Drosophila melanogaster: one gene and its partner. Each later gene encodes a partner of the first gene's protein in a complex. Each region holds a gene or a part of one and is shown on either strand. Other genes may lie near its edges. A codon is read from its position in the direction of its gene.

The links. Proteins that work in one complex are often made in the same cells at the same time.
Region 2: the proteins of dlg1 (region 1) and pins are in contact, whole or in part, in a crystal structure (PDB 3TVT), measured with the Drosophila melanogaster proteins. Residues at the interface, in NP_996406.1 of Drosophila melanogaster: Cys808, Val809, Pro810, Arg814, Arg817, Arg824, Asp825, Tyr826, Ile839, His842, Phe844, Ile845, Glu846, Ala847, Gly848, Gln849, Tyr850, Tyr855, Ser877, Asn879, Arg883; in NP_524999.2 of Drosophila melanogaster: Arg434 (codon at 3,611), Met437 (codon at 3,620), Gln439 (codon at 3,626), Leu440 (codon at 3,629), Asp441 (codon at 3,632), Leu442 (codon at 3,635), Ile443 (codon at 3,638), Lys444 (codon at 3,641), Ile445 (codon at 3,644), Thr446 (codon at 3,647), Pro447 (codon at 3,650).

The regions. Positions count from the first base shown.
Region 1 is NC_004354.4:11,371,772-11,380,203, reverse strand, and holds the start of dlg1 (discs large 1), read right to left. Parts: upstream 4,442-8,432; 5' UTR 4,396-4,441; coding exon 3,486-4,395; intron 3,363-3,485; coding exon 3,231-3,362; intron 1-3,230. UniProt on the Drosophila melanogaster protein: During embryonic development, some isoforms are essential for proper neuronal differentiation and organization. Required for cell polarity; maintenance of apicobasal polarity.
Region 2 is NT_033777.3:27,581,035-27,588,728, forward strand, and holds pins (partner of inscuteable), read left to right. Parts: upstream 1-1,805; 5' UTR 1,806-2,053; coding exon 2,054-3,340; intron 3,341-3,598; coding exon 3,599-4,288; 3' UTR 4,289-5,342; downstream 5,343-7,694. Other genes in the region: CG5639 (uncharacterized protein), read right to left, coding at 5,652-6,931, 7,000-7,694.

The DNA of each region.
Region 1 (8,432 bases):
CTGGTCGGATAGAACGAGAGAGAGAGAGAGAGAGAGCACGTAATTCCATGGGGCATTGCTGGGCCACCAATATATTGCATGGAAAAGTACGCGCAGTCATTGAAATGTGTGTACATAAAGTACAGCTCACTGGGAAACTAAAGGTTTCCCGGGGGAACTGTGCAAGGCAATTTGAAACTAAATATTTCAAATTTGCAAAGCTGAAAAGAAACACCCTACTAATATTAATCAAGCAGACGAAACTTTCGAAAACGTTTTCGAACATTATTACAAGCTTCAGATACCTAAAAAAATATATGTTGGCCCTACGATTAAACAAGCAGCTTAGCATATATACAAGAAGTTGCTTAAAATTTGTAAATCTTCAATGGAGAATTGCCTGTATTTTATCGAGAGACCACTGTACCACGTTATGCAATGGATTCGGCCACTTGAACTCAAAATGAGTTATCGAATGCTTTAGAATGCTTTCCCGAAAATGCCCTTTTAAGCATTGTTATTTTTTTCATTCCTCCATTATTTGTGTGCCTTCAATTTGTGTTCTGCATGTTTTTCATCGGTATTTGTGTTTGTTTTATTTTTTATTGCGGCCACATTTTTTAGCTGGCCTCAGCTGAATGCCAATGCCGTTGAAAAAGAGATGCTAAACTTCAGGTTACACCATCTCTCTCTATCTTCATCTCGCTGTGGGGAATTCCAGGAAATCGATAAGACCCCTCAAAAGTATCCACAATATATTTGCATACATATGTATGTATCATTTACAATAGCAGGGGATAATAATAGCAGCGATTTCAATCACAATTTATGTAACTTAAAGTAGCAAATAACTTATTGACTTATAGTAAGCTGCGTATAGATTTAAAAATTAATATCTTATGCTTGTTACAGTTTATCTCACGTATAGTGGTTTTATTCGCTTGACCGCAATCGTATCTCACTCGTAAACATATACACTAGTGTATGTATGTAAATGTAAGTGTGCTGCAGATGATTCCAATTCTAGGCCAATTAAATTGGGATTTCGCCCGCACATGGCTCTTCATGACCTTTTGCCCCCCCCCGTCCCGCACACAACCCCTGGCGCATCCTTATCTCTATCCTTCGCTTCAACTTGAGTGTCAATTGTGGTGCCTGTGCAACACTGAGAACCAAGCCAAAAACTATGGCAAAAAAAAATCAAACTCTGATGCCCAAACATAGTTTTTCCAACGATATTACTCATACGCAGTGTTATTCGGTTGCACAGTAGTAGTGCTTTCAAACGCAGTTGAAATGTTTTCAGTGTTATTACAGCATAACAGATTCAATGCAAATATGTTCAACAAAAGCGGGAAAGAGACGGAAAGAGACTGGAATCTAACCTCAAGTTTGATACTATACCCAAAACACACACACACACACATACGTTTCGGGTGTTTGGGATGCGGCTAATACCTTGTTAATTATTTCACACGCACACACATGCATACACCACCTCAAATTCCCTTGGGTGGACCTTAACTGTGGGTTGATTTCAAGGCTGTGAACTCTTTTTATCGTAATACATGTGACCCATATCTATCATAAGAAAAATCAAGTACTGGCATCGTGTTTAAAAACTCTCTTCTTCAATTTAGTTTAGCTTTCCTTCTAAACTAGCAGAGCGACGTGACTGATCATGTTCTGTCGAAGTGCGACCCTGCGAGTTTTTAAGTTAAGGTCCACCCTTGTGTTTGGCCATACAAAAGCTCCTGTTTTCTAACGTGTCACGTGTTTGGCTTGTTTGCATTTGAGTTTGTGTGTGCTTGTTAGCCGTTTAACATTTCTGACACGCCAAGCGCAGCCACTGAAACTGTAACGATAACGGGAGAAGAGGAAGCACCAGCGGGATACGCCGAACAAGAGGAATAGGGACAAGAAGAACCAAAACAATGGGAAGAATGGAAAGAGGTAGGGGGAGAGGACCCAAGCGAAACGAAACGAAAAGGATTATGCAACTGCCACTGACAGCGGGCAACACAATTTGCACCCAGGGGTCCAATAGAAAGGGACGGGGTCACAGAGCGAGACGCGGAGCGAGCGGGAGAGAGCCATAGGGGACTAGAATGAGATGGAGCACGGCGGTAGAGCAGAACTTTTGCAAATTATACAACAGGCAAGACCCACAAAACAGACAACTGCAAACCAACCGCCCGTCTCGAAATGGATGGACATATGGACAGAGAGAGATGAGAGGCGGATACGTTGCTGAAAAAAAGAAAAGATGGGCGAGCAAAAAAAAAAGTGTACTGCAAACAGTGCTGCCAAAAATCCAAAAGTAGCTAAGAGCTAATCCAGACAAAACTGTCAAATGAGAAAAACAAGCTGTCAAATCTTGGGCAAAAATGTCTCAATAAATGGGAACGGCTTAAAAAACTGCTTAAATATACAATGATAAGGCAACAATGGCAGGGAAATTAACTTTTCTTAATAGGAAAGTATTTAGTTATAGTGATAATTAGGTTCATCTTAAGCTTGAGACTATAGGTAATATGAGGGAAACCAACAAGTTGCTAGTGAAAATCAATGGCTCCTTCGCCATATGCCACCAAAATGCACTCCATGATGCAACTGGAGCACTAATCAGGCCGTCTATCGACCCTTTTGAGTAACCAGAGTCGGTAAAGAAAAAAAAAACAAGCTGAATTAGCCGCATTACTATGGGACGCTTGCTGTTTCCATTGCGCTGCGCTGCTTGGTCTATTTGACCCAAATCCTATGCAATATTATCGTTTTGCTGTCGCTGTTGCTGCAATTCCCTTTGTTGCTACTTTGTGCTCACTGCTTGCTTGTCAAGTGAAAATAATTTGCAACGCGAGGGGAGGGACAAGAAAATCGATAGGCGATAGGCAATGGACGATAGACAACTGCACAGATAAGAACTACTTTTCAAGGATCTTTCTTTCCGGCTCATCAACTACTTTCTAACAATCTTGGCACAAAGTTCGCAACTTTGTTTGCGTTTAAAGTTTCAGAATCAATAGACGATGATGATGAGCTTGGTTAAGGCTCTTGCTTATAACGAACTTGTGAAAAACTTATTTAGCACACTGACCTATATAATAAAGTATTTCACAAAAATGCACTTATCTAGCGGCAATTATTTAGATATTTTTAAAGGCAAAAACTTACGAGCGACGCGAATAGCGTCTAAGATATACATATAGGATATTTTCATCGATTTAATCGATACATTATCGATTACTCACCTAACAGCGCTTGAAACAAGCGAGATTTAAATATGCGTATAACGCGTTCGATTGCAATACGCAGCGCCCGATCCTGCGGCTCCGAAAGTCTCGCGTGGTAGTCCTCGAGCAGCTCGAGAGCCCGATGAGCTTCTGAAATATATAGAGAAAAGAATATGGTTAGTACAAATGATCTTCGATTGTTTTATTATGAAATCAACCCAAAAGACCAAGGGATTCTGCCTGCCCATTTTTCCCCACTGGATTAGTGCCTACTCTGTATGTCCGCAATGCGCTCCTCCTCATCCTGACTGATCGCCAGACCCGCCTGGCCGAAGATCGTTGACCAGAAGCCCCTCTCGGAACCCTGTTCCGAACCACTTTCCCCAGCCGCATCCTGTACGTGGGATCTCTGCTTGGGCTTTGGCTTCGCCTTGCTCTTGGCCTTCAACTGCAGCTCCGATTGCGATTTCTCGAGACTTTCCCGCTCGAGAGTCTCGATCATGGTGCGAAATCGGCTCAGTTCCATGCGCAAACCCTCGGCACTGTGGCGACTCGACGAAGAGACGGAGAGTCCGGAAATGCCGGAGAGAAGGCGACAACGGGCTGCGCCCGAGGATGACGACGACGGACCCTCCCACTCGTCGCGCGAAGCATCGCTCTCGGACTTCTCAAAGTAGCCAGACTCCACATCCGGTGTTCGGACCATCGAAGTGGAGGACAGCATGTGTCCGTACTCGAGAAGATCCTGGGCGGAATAGAAGCATTCAACGGACTCGCGGACACTATCGCGCAGGGATGTTGGACACTTCGGAGGCTCGGGATCCGGTTCGGTTACGGTCTCCATTTGGTGTTCCATCACCTCCAGTTGCGAATCCCCATCCATATCGCTAGCTTTGGCAGCTACTGCCACCGGATTGGTATCATCGATTTCTTGGCGCACTTCTATGGCTTCCGCCGACGGCTGTACCAAGACCACCAAAGGTGGCTGGTCTTGGTCGCAGCGAATCTGTGCCTTCTTCTGCGGCAGCAGGCACTCCTCCTCCTCGGGCTCCTCCTCATCGTCCGCCGGAGAGGAATCCTCCGCCGGTTCATCATCGTCGTGGAATGTCTTGTCATCGCTACTGAGCAGTCCCTCGTTGGGATCGCTGCTCTTCTCCCGCTCCGAGTCCGTATCCGAATCCATTACCAGGACCAGCCAAGAAGACACCTCTCTTCGCGCCCAAGTGCCGCACTCAACTGGCTAGACTTTTGAGCTCTATTATGGTTCTATAGTTTGGTGGCTGCTACCGCCGATAAATCAATAAAGATTGACGCTTTTTAAACATTTTTCACCGCTTGTCGGACGCCAGTTATTAACGCTTTTTTTTTTTTGTTTTTTTGTTTCCATGAAGGGTGTGTGCCTAAAATTCCCCATCCTAAATGCTTTAACTTGAAAATCTGAATAGCAACGAAGTTGTGTGTTGCTGCGCATAGTTTGATGTCCCCATGCGAAGAGGTCAGGGGTCAAGTGCCATACCGTCGCTGGCTTGTCATTCGTGCCGCGTTTGCCAAAAAATTAAACACATAATTTATTATTATAATCGAGTCGCATTATGGTCCCAAAACACACGCACACACACACACATACAGAGCACACAAACCAAACTATACATACTCGTATCTAAATGAACATTGTATCTGTGGCCGCAGTTTGATGTCCTCAGCACGCGTCAAACGCCGACGTTGACCTTCACTGACCATTTGCGAGGCTGCTGGCAGCGCTTTTCCCCGGTTTTCCCATTTTCCGTCTGCTGCGGCTCCTCTCTTTCCCCCTCCCCCTTCCCCCTTCCGCACCATTTCATTTCATCTCTTCTGTTGGCCATTTGAGTTGCCCAAATATGATTTGTATGTGACATAATCAAATAAAATTCTTTGTCTGCATTAATTTAGCTGGTTTTTTATGTATTTTTTTTTTTTTTTTTTGTTGCATAGCTTCCAATGCACAGTTGGATACATTGTTTGTTTGGCCAAAAGTGCCATCTCGTGTGTAATTGGAAGCAGCTTTGCTGGCTAACTTTGCGCAGCACGTAAAAGTTAAATGATCTACTAAAATTACAATTGAAAAACTAATGCCAACTTTCTATATACTATATGGTGCTTAAAACTTTCACCAGCAAATCAATGCAGTTTTGCATAGACATAGCTTTTTTAATAGGTTCTAACTTTATTTCACAATAGTTAAGGTTATTTTTCTAAATTTGTTATGCATAGAATTATGTAAAATGTGATCTTAAACCATTGTGTTAAGTTTTAAACTACTTTTTCAATTGCTGAAAACTGGCAAACAGTTTTCACTGTCCACCATTCATAAGGTCCATTCAATTGAATGGATTTCCACGTAATGCCAAAGACAGATATGTAGAACAGAAAATAAAAAAAGAAGAAGAAGGAGGGAAAGGTGGGAAAGGTGGGCAGTGAATAAAAGTGCAATTTTTCGCTTACCTTGCTTTTTCACTGGCATTCTGTGAGCGGTGTTTCTGCTACTATTTATGGTGGTGCTGGTGGAAATGGCAGCGGAAATGGCGGTGGTGCAGCAGCTTTGATTGTGGTTCAACGCCGCCGAACTGGGAAAAGCGTGGGTCGCAATTTTGAGAATTTACTGGAGTCGCTTTCGAGTGGAAATGTGCGGAAAAATCGCTTTGGCTTTTCCTTGAGTTCTCCTCCTTTTAGTTTCGCCAGCACATCTGTATATATATCTGATATATATGTATATATATATATATACTATTCGATGGTGTTTTATGTACAAATATTGTTTTGTTAGATACTTTGGCTTTCGAACAAAGTTCGAGATTTGTTGTTTTTTTTTTAATTTTGCGCTTTCAGTTTGCTAGTTTATTTTTTAATTTCTTTATATATTTTACTTTTCGTTTTCTTGGGGCAGCTTTGTGGTTACATTGACGTGTGCGTTTTCTCTCGATTTCTTTGCGATTTTCACATTTCACAGCTCAATGGCTCCTCACATTCACATTCGGTTCTATAGCATTTATGTTGCACTTTATATTGCAATGCGACTATCATCGAAATGTCGTACTTTCCTCGTCACAACACAACAACACCAACACAAAAAAAAACTCAGATCGTTTATTTGCTTACTTCGCGTTCACTTGATTTGATTCTATATTGCATTCACCATCTGAAAGTCGAAAGAAAAACAAGTGGAGAAGGTTTGAGGAACACGGCTCCTTTGGATTTTTTCTCAACGGCACCCATTTTGTTGTATAATCATAAAAACAAAAAAAAAAAAAACAAAAATTACGAAAATTGCAGACACACACGGGCGCAGTTGAATGCGCTTCCGATTGCAACAAAATGGGTACAGTGGTAACTCGCTGCGTGGTATTTCGTATCTAACTTCTATTGATCAAATATTAATAGCATATTCTTCAATATGCAAATATTTTTATGAGAATTTTAGCAGAATTGTAAAGTATATTCAATGTTTCAGCATCAGTTAAATATGATGCTACACTGAAAATATTCCTATAATATTATAAAACACCGTTGTCCATTATCGAGTGACCACTGTAGCTGACTCTTTTTTTCAGACACTCATATTTGGGAAATAAGAAAAATTGAATAGCGTCGCAGCGATGTCGAAATTCTCGTCTGCCCGCTTGTTTCGCGATCGCCATTGTCGAGCTGATTCCGATTTTATTCACATATTTTCGCCAGTCTGTGTGAGTTGGCTGCTTTTTGCTATTTCAGCTAAATGGTTTTTTATTTCTGCCATGCAGTTGATCTAGTTTCACTTGAAACAAAAAAAAAATGAACAAAAAAGAACTCATAAACAAGGCAAGAACCGAATACAGTGAATGCTGAGAGTTGAATTTCGCAGTGCCTTTGGCTTGATAACTTGTTACATTGGCCAGGTCGAAAGACCAAAATTCCGCACACCCGCACCGCACACAGACACACGTCCAACTGAGGCAATAACGGTGCTCTGCTTTTGGCCCTCAATCGCCAGCCTCTCGCCCCCTCTCCTCCTCTCACCCATCCTCTCAGCTGGCCGCCACCTCTCTCTCTCTCTCTCACTCTCTCTCTCTCTCTTCGACCGAGAATCCCGAGCGATTCTCGTCGAGCGCCGCTCGCCGGACCAACAATTAGTGCCTGCACATATACTCGTACACCGGATGCCATGCCAGATACCAGATGCTATATGGCTATATGGCCACGTATCTTTCTATCTGTCTACCTTTATACCATTCTATCTTTCTACCATTATATCTTTCTATCATTCAAACTATCTACATTTCTATCTTTATATCTTTCTATATTTCTATCTTTCTATCTATTTATCCTTATATATATTTATCGTTCTACCTTTCTATCTGTTTATCTTTCTACCATTCTAGCTTTCTAACTATCTATATTTCTAACTTTATATCTTTATATCTTTATATCTTTCCATCTTTCCATCTTTATATCTATCTATATATCTAGCCAATGGAATGGTATATGGTATATATTAGTACAAATTTATTATTTTGCCTTTGGTTTGCTATAAGGAGTATTGGCTTTTAGATAAAATGTTTATATTTCCATAATTTCCAAACAAACATGTGCAATACTTCGCTCTACTGCCCTACCAAGCGATATCAACAAACTCTCTGGCCAATTTGTTTATAGATCAAATAAATAAGCCAAACACACAATTCAGATTCGCTTAGGGTAGTCCCCCGACATTGGAAATTAACAAGAAACCAAATCATAATAAAGTTTATGTGAGCGATGAGCGATAAAATAAACATTTGAATGATCTGAAACCAGATCATTCACACGTCATAAAAAAAGAGGTAAATATTCAAAAAAAGGAAGATCTAAAAGTTCAAATCAGTTGAAATGTACGTAACTATGCAATTTCCTTCGACAACAAATGATTGACTGTTGAAAGTTATAAAATAAATTGCCATAAATATCGGGGAAATGTCCGAACCGACAATTCTAACTGCCGTGGAGTCCATTATTTTGACAGGCAAGTCGAGATCCTCGTGCATTTTGGTTCTCTACTAGAGGGAAAGCCATCGGGCAAAAGGCACTTTGATTAATGTGGTGGACGTCAGTGACGCGAATTACTTAAAAAACAATTGAACAACTAGACGGGTCAATACACAGCGAACCCGGAAGGCCAGACGAAGTTTGGGGCGCGGAAGGAAGTGACAGCGGGGGAGGCGGAAAAAC
Region 2 (7,694 bases), on another chromosome or scaffold:
TGAAACACCGAATTGCGTCTGGGGATTTAGCCGCTTACTGCGCACTTGAAAAATTTGCATTCGCCTTGGAAATTTGGCTTTAATTTTGCACTCGGCTTTGTTTAGTTGCCTTTTATTTCTCCTTCTTTATTCGGGCTTGGAATTTTCGCTGCAGAATTTATTAAAAACCGACTGCGTATGTGTGTATATAAAAGATTTCTATATCTTTTGCAACCGACGACGAAGGCGGCATACGGCAACTGTGGCGATATTTTTTTCCTTCGTCCGACTCTCGCGCTCTCTTTTCGTTTTCGGCTTGCTCTCTCTGGCACATGGGTATATACTATACGCGAGAGGGAGCAGGCACACACAAACGAAAAGCCTGCCTCCAATTGATTAGTATTAGTACTTCGAATAGTATTACTATTGTTATTGTTTTCATCTAGCTGACTTTCAATTGTTTGGTGCTGATATTTAGCTAGATTCCCCAGGTGCGATTACTCATTTGGCTTTTGTTTCGAGACCACTGTGCCAGATTTCTGGGTGAGAGCGTGGTGAGTTTCGTTTCAACTCACCACAGAAACTGTTGTTGCGCGTCGCGCTCTCTATTTAGGCGGCTCTCTCCCACACACGGTCACACTACAGTCCCAAAAATGAATGAAAATACCACAAAATACCATCCAACGCACGGGCACACCGGCGAACTGAAAGACGCCGCTGCTTTCAAGTTTTTCTCCCGTTTTTATTTCCTATCGAGGGCGATAACCAAACAAGGCTATCGTTATCGACCTCTCGCTCGCTCTGTATCCCTCCTTCCCTGTCGCACTCGCTCTCCTTTTGTGTGGCTAATTTTTTCCTTTTAGTCCTTTTTTCGGTTGCCTTCGTGCAGAAATTCCCTGCTTTATGTAATTTAGAACACAATGTTTGCGTTGCACTGTTGGCCGACTGCAGCTGAAAACCGCACAAAAAAAGCGACGCACACACACACCTTCGAGCATCCGGACTTCCAATTTGCACTGCTTTTCTAACAGTCTATCGCGCACGCACTGCCACAATTTCACCCGCTTATCGCGCCGCAATATGGGACGTTCGCTTTTCAATCGATTTTGGTAACCGGCAGGTGCGCTTTATGCGAGAATTACGAATTTTCTCCAGCGGCAACTAGAATCGTTCACACAGACACCGTAGAAGTGACGCCATCTTTGAAGCGATTAGTGTTGCAAAGCGCGTCTGCAAAAGTGCTGGCTACCAACTACGGTTGATAGGGATGAGGGCTATGGCTTGTTGACCGAAAATGATAAATGTTAACTATGCCAATATATTTTAGATTTTACTAATACGTTACAAAAATAAGAAAAGACTATGATAAAATTGTGTTTTAGCTTGGCTCATAAGTATTGATCCTTTATAAGCTATGGTCTTGCAGTGGCTAACATTTCTCAAATTAGGGCAACCATCTGATAAGATTTCTAATTCGAATTCTAATAAATGAATTTAAACTGCTTTTTCTTAAAGTTAAAAAAAAATTAGTTTTAAATCAAACGGCATGCATACATTAACCATCAAACAATGTAATTATATATATAATATTACCAATTGGGCTACTAAATATTGCTGATATGTAAGCTATGGTCATGAGGTAAAGGCATATTATTTATATAATTTTCATAGTATCTTTGTTGTAGGGGAAAAATAACAAGTAATTTAAAATTGTTCAATTGACTTAAAACAAAATATAACAGATATTATTTTTAAATCCAACGACATACCATATAAAGTTGGTATTTCTTTCTAATCTGCTTGGTATTCTCATCGACCCCAATCGGTCACACTGGTCGTGAATCAGAAACGCACTAATTAGTCAAAAAAACGGTACAAAAGATCGCTTAATTGCTGAAATTTCACCTGTCGCAGTTAAGTTTACCCACCAGCAGTTCAAAACCAGCCAGAGGCTAGCTAAAAACCCCAAAGATCGACCCCAAAACATCGCCGCAAAGTGGACAACTCCCAGTTTTCAGAGCACCTGCCCCTCAAAAAGGAGCATCGCGACAAAAAGGCGAGACTTCGCAGCAGAATGTCCTCGCTCTCTGCGTCCGCGGAGAATGTGTCCAGTTTGGGACTGGGATCGGGCGGAGGAGGAACTACTTCCCACGACGGCAACTCCCAGCAGGGTTCCGGATCCGACGGAGGATCCAGTATGTGCCTGGAACTGGCCCTCGAGGGTGAACGCCTCTGCAAGGCGGGTGACTGCCGGGCGGGCGTGGCCTTCTTCCAGGCGGCCATTCAGGCCGGAACCGAGGATCTTCGCACTCTGTCCGCCATCTACTCCCAGCTGGGCAACGCCTACTTCTACCTAGGCGACTACAACAAGGCGATGCAGTACCACAAACACGATCTTACGCTGGCCAAGAGCATGAACGACCGACTGGGCGAGGCCAAGTCCTCTGGCAATCTGGGCAACACCCTCAAGGTAATGGGTCGCTTCGACGAGGCGGCCATCTGTTGCGAGAGGCACCTAACGCTGGCCAGGCAGCTGGGAGATCGTCTGTCCGAGGGACGCGCTCTTTACAACCTAGGAAATGTCTACCACGCCAAGGGCAAGCACTTGGGTCAGAGAAACCCTGGAAAGTTCGGCGACGATGTCAAGGAGGCGCTCACCCGTGCCGTGGAGTTTTACCAGGAGAATCTGAAGCTCATGCGGGATCTGGGTGATCGTGGTGCTCAAGGTCGAGCTTGTGGTAATCTGGGAAATACCTACTACCTACTAGGCGATTTCCAAGCGGCCATTGAGCATCATCAGGAGCGACTGCGCATTGCCAGAGAGTTTGGTGATCGCGCGGCTGAGCGAAGGGCCAACAGTAATCTTGGCAACTCGCACATATTCCTGGGACAATTCGAGGACGCCGCCGAACACTACAAACGCACCTTGGCTTTGGCCGTTGAGTTGGGTGAACGCGAAGTGGAGGCCCAGAGTTGCTACAGCTTGGGCAACACCTACACGTTGCTGCACGAGTTCAACACTGCCATCGAGTATCACAATCGACACTTGGCCATTGCCCAGGAGTTGGGCGATCGAATTGGTGAGGCCAGGGCCTGCTGGTCACTGGGCAATGCCCACTCTGCCATCGGTGGTCATGAGCGGGCCCTAAAGTATGCGGAACAGCATCTTCAACTGGCCAAGGAGCTGCACGACCCGGTGGGTGAAAGCACAGCCAGGGTGAACATCTCCGATCTACGAAAGCTACTCGGAATGCCCGACTCCGAGCCTTCACCCACCGAGGAGGAGGCTCGATCCACCGCCTCCGATCACTCGGCCAGCGGAAATCAGTCGGATGGATCGGAGAACTCGCAAGGAAGAATGGTAAGAGAAACGAGCTGCAACAACATAAAGCAATATGAATGATTCCTGAGATATTTTTAAACAATACTGGCAGTCCGTTTGTTCTATTTTTCGAAGTGGACACCTGCTGCTTGCAGTGTTTGCCCCTTTATGTTAGCGTAAATATTTATACTTTGTACCAAAACACATCGTTAAACTTTCGATTCGAGCACATGCTGAGAAATTGAAACCCCTGAAAGATACATAGCTAAATTTATTACTTTAATTGCTTCCCGTCAGGTGCGCGTTCGTCGCCAGAGCATGGAGCAGTTGGACCTGATCAAGATCACTCCCGATGGAAAGCGCATGCAGGAGGAAAAGCTACGAGCACAGGCGACCAGGAAAGCCAAAGACGACGACTTTTTCGAGATGCTTTCGCGGTCGCAGTCGAAGCGCATGGATGACCAGCGCTGTTCGATCAAGGTGAATCCCGCCGGAGCTCCGGCGGTGGCCACTGGCGCCACGCGTAAGCCGCTTGTGCAGCAGAACTCGTTGTTCGTGGATCCCACCAACCTGCCTGGCCTCAAGTCACCGTCGTCGGCGAATCCATCAGCCATTGGACATGGGCCGCTCGCCAGGAGCGCCACCACTACGCAGCAGCCCGATGATGACTTCCTAGACATGCTTATGCGCTGCCAAGGCTCGCGTCTGGAGGAGCAGCGGTCCGAGTTACCGCGCCCCAATGTCACCATGGACGCAGAGGCGGAGGCACCACCGCGATCCGTCCCAGAGGCTGCTGTTCCAGGGGCACCACGCGGACAGACCGGACGTGGAGCTACCGTCCCCGATGAGGACTTCTTCTCACTGATCATGAAGGTCCAGAGCGGTCGCATGGAGGATCAGCGCGCCTCGATTCCGTTCCGAAATGCCAACAATAACAACAATAGCCGCAGCAACAACAACGGTTCAGCCGGCGGAGCTGGAAAGTAGAGAGTTGTAGTCCAAAAAGCTGAAGTCCAACCAAACAATCCTATAAATCCATCCCTGGCCGCAGCTCCTGACTCATTTCGTTGTAAGCCCATCTTGCGGCCATTTATTCAGTCGTTTATTTTCGGAAATTGGCTGCTAAACATTTTGTTCTTTTACAAGATTTATATATACACACGTACACGAAAAGCATTAATTTATGAATAGCAACTAACCACGTAACCAAATATTAGGGGTGTATAGGGCCTCGTCTACACGAGCAGAGGGAGGAACCTCCAACGGATGCACACACTCATCCACTCATGACTCATTACATACTCCACCATGAGCTGGCCATGATATTGAACGATATGCACTCGAGTCTTACGATATTAACGTTTTAATTGCATGTGCAAGTAGTTTAAGCCGGATAATACTAATGTACTAATCCAATTTGCTCAATAGACGGAACCAAGTCTTCTCTACGATCAACGATCTTACATTCTCGTAGCCACATTCAGCTAAATATTAAGTTTTAAGTCCATCGAACCCACTCTACATGTAAGCAATGCATTTTCCAAATCAAAATCTAACTACAGATATATCCAATTGTAACTATGAGTATTGCATTTTTCTATCAATCTATCGATCGATCTAAACTCTGAACATATTTTAAGCCACTTACAATTTTTGTTAGTATATTAACAAGACACAAAGAATAGCAGCTCGGAATTCCATTTGAGGACCGGCGCTTGTGCAAGCACTTAGCATACGATATACACAACCAATCATACTTACACATATACAAGAAACATATGAACAATATATATATAGTTATACCAATGTCTAACGATTTGCCTCTTCGGGTATTGTTCTACACAATATATACAATACAAGTTATATATACACAAAACAAAAACACAAAACTGAGTTCGAGTTGTACGAAATGAAGCCAAAATTTATTAATGTTATACTTTTTTGTAGCACGAGATCTACGGGATCTGCGAATGAAAGATACCATACAGGCGGACAATTATGTCGTGTATTATTAAATATTAAAATCAAAAAATGTTTGCTGACACGTTCGTGATTTTTATTCCAAGATAAGGGTTTTAGATTCAGATACTTAAAGATCATATCAGTATGTGACAAAAAAAAAAAAAAGACTATTTATTCGACTTTAAAGCTTTATTCATAAATTAATCGTCTTAGGTTGCTAGAACATATGCGATAAGTATTCGAAAGTGGGTTCCCTCTAGTCGCACTCCCCTTTTGGCTTAGTTGGGGCAGAATCAAGGCCTCTGATCTCTTCTCCCCCCTAAAAGTAGATCTTAAATTTGCTCTGTTTTATTTACAAATTGATTTAGATAACTCAACAACGGAATGCCTACGCGGCGAACCCCTTCTTGCTGTCCATGTCGGCGGCCAGCACGAAAATGGGTGCGGAGTAGTCCACAGGCTTGTCGCCTCCTTCGCCCTTCAAATAGGGATTCGCCGCCTTGAGGTTCCGGTTTCGCTTCAGCATGACATAGACCACAAATATGCTGACCAGGAAGGCGGAACTGGTGGCCATTATGAACAGCACCAGCTGGATGGACTCGTCCTGGGCGGTGGCCGCCTGAGCCACTGGGACATGAGCACTGCGGTGCACAAAGTGGGAGCGGGTCAAGTCCGGCCGGAAGTGACCGCCCGCCAGGCGGAAGTCGCCGGCGGAAATTGCCGCCTCGATGGCAAAGGCCAAGTCCACCTTGGCCTCGTTGTGCAGCTCAAAACGGACAATAGCGGATCCATCGAAGTTCTCTTGGACGCGCAAGTTTTCGACGGACTCACCGCCGAGTAGCTGCTGCAGTTCCCGCCGGATGGTGTCGTAGGCATTCCTTATACTCCGGCCACTGCTGTTGGTCAGATGGAGTTCGATGGCCACCGCCTCTATCGGAACATGACTGCAGCGACGATCGCCAGCTCCAAAGACGTGGGTGGACTGTAGCTGGTTGCCGGCCGCATCGACGCACCAGCAACTTCTGCCGTTGCACTGCAGCGGGCGGAAGGCTCCTGCCTCATCGCAACTGACCGGGAATGGTGCCGTTTTCGACAGAGCTCGACAACGTGTGGTCTTCAGCTCCATGGGTTTCAGGGTGGCCTGCTCCACGGATAGCTGAGAGTCCAGCAGTGAGTTCGCCAGCTCTAGTACTCTCTCCGTAACACTGGACTCCGCTGCACTGGCGGTGGCAGGCAGCACCCTAGCCTCCAGCTCATCGAAGTCCAGATCCTCGCTAGCGACATCATTCAGTTGGGTGAGCTGAGCAATCAGTTGCTCCATCAGAGGATCGCCAGAATCGAATGCCTTGCGGTTACGAGCCTGTCGACTATTGCATATGGGTTCGCTCTCCCGGGTGAGGGTTCCCTTTAGAGGAGCACCCTTCTTGTCCGCACACCAGCAAACTCCGGGCGCTTCCTCGCCAGCGGATGCAGCTGGTTCCGATGCAAAGGCGCGACTAACGATCTCCGTGTGCCTGTCCATGGGTTGGGGCTGCTTGCCCAAGCATTGCACGGGACTCCAGTGGCCAGTGACTGGGTCACATCTTGGTTGGAACCAAACTGAGGAGTGTCCTGTTCGCTGGGCAGCCAGGTTGTTCTTGAGCTTCAGGCGCTCGCATTGAGTGAGCACTGGGGACGAGACGAATAAATGGATTAACGAGGAGTTCCAAAACCAAAAGCGGAGGCTACCATCTTACCTGGACACACGGAGTTGCAGGCGAGTTCGTTGTGGAAGAGGTTCTTAGTTTGGCAGGCGGGTGCCTCGGAGTCGATGACCACGGGTAGGCACTTGTTTGCCTTGGGACTGAACCTATAGCGCGTGCTATTTTTCTCCGATTTGCCAGTGGCCAGACAACCATTATCCATGGACTCGAAGCAAACATCACGGGTCTTGGAGCAGCAAACACCACGGTTATTGACCGGATTCAGCTGACAGGAGTGGGTGGTGGGGCACACTTCGTGCTCATTGTGGGGTCCACAGCTCATGTCCAAGTCGCCTTGCTGGAGAGGATTACCCTCGGGACAAATGGAGGCTCTTCGGGGCACACATATGGGCATCTTCGGGCACGGACTGTCCACACATTCCACAGAGATCAATTGGCATTCCTCGTGAGGGGAGCAGCTTACTTCGTTGCAGTAGTTTCTACACTCGCAGGTGGGACAACCATTGGAGTCCATCTGGTAGCCACTCTCGCACTCTAGGCTGCAGTTCGTCTTTGGGCACGCGAAGCTAGAGTTCTCCTGGCATTTGGGTGTTGCTGGAGATTTGACCCTTGTGCCAGGCAGGATTTTACCCTGATCATCCACACACCAGCAGTGACCATCGGGTGAGCACTGGACCTGATTCCATTTGCCATTATTTGGGTCACATTGGGCCACCGCCATTTGCCGG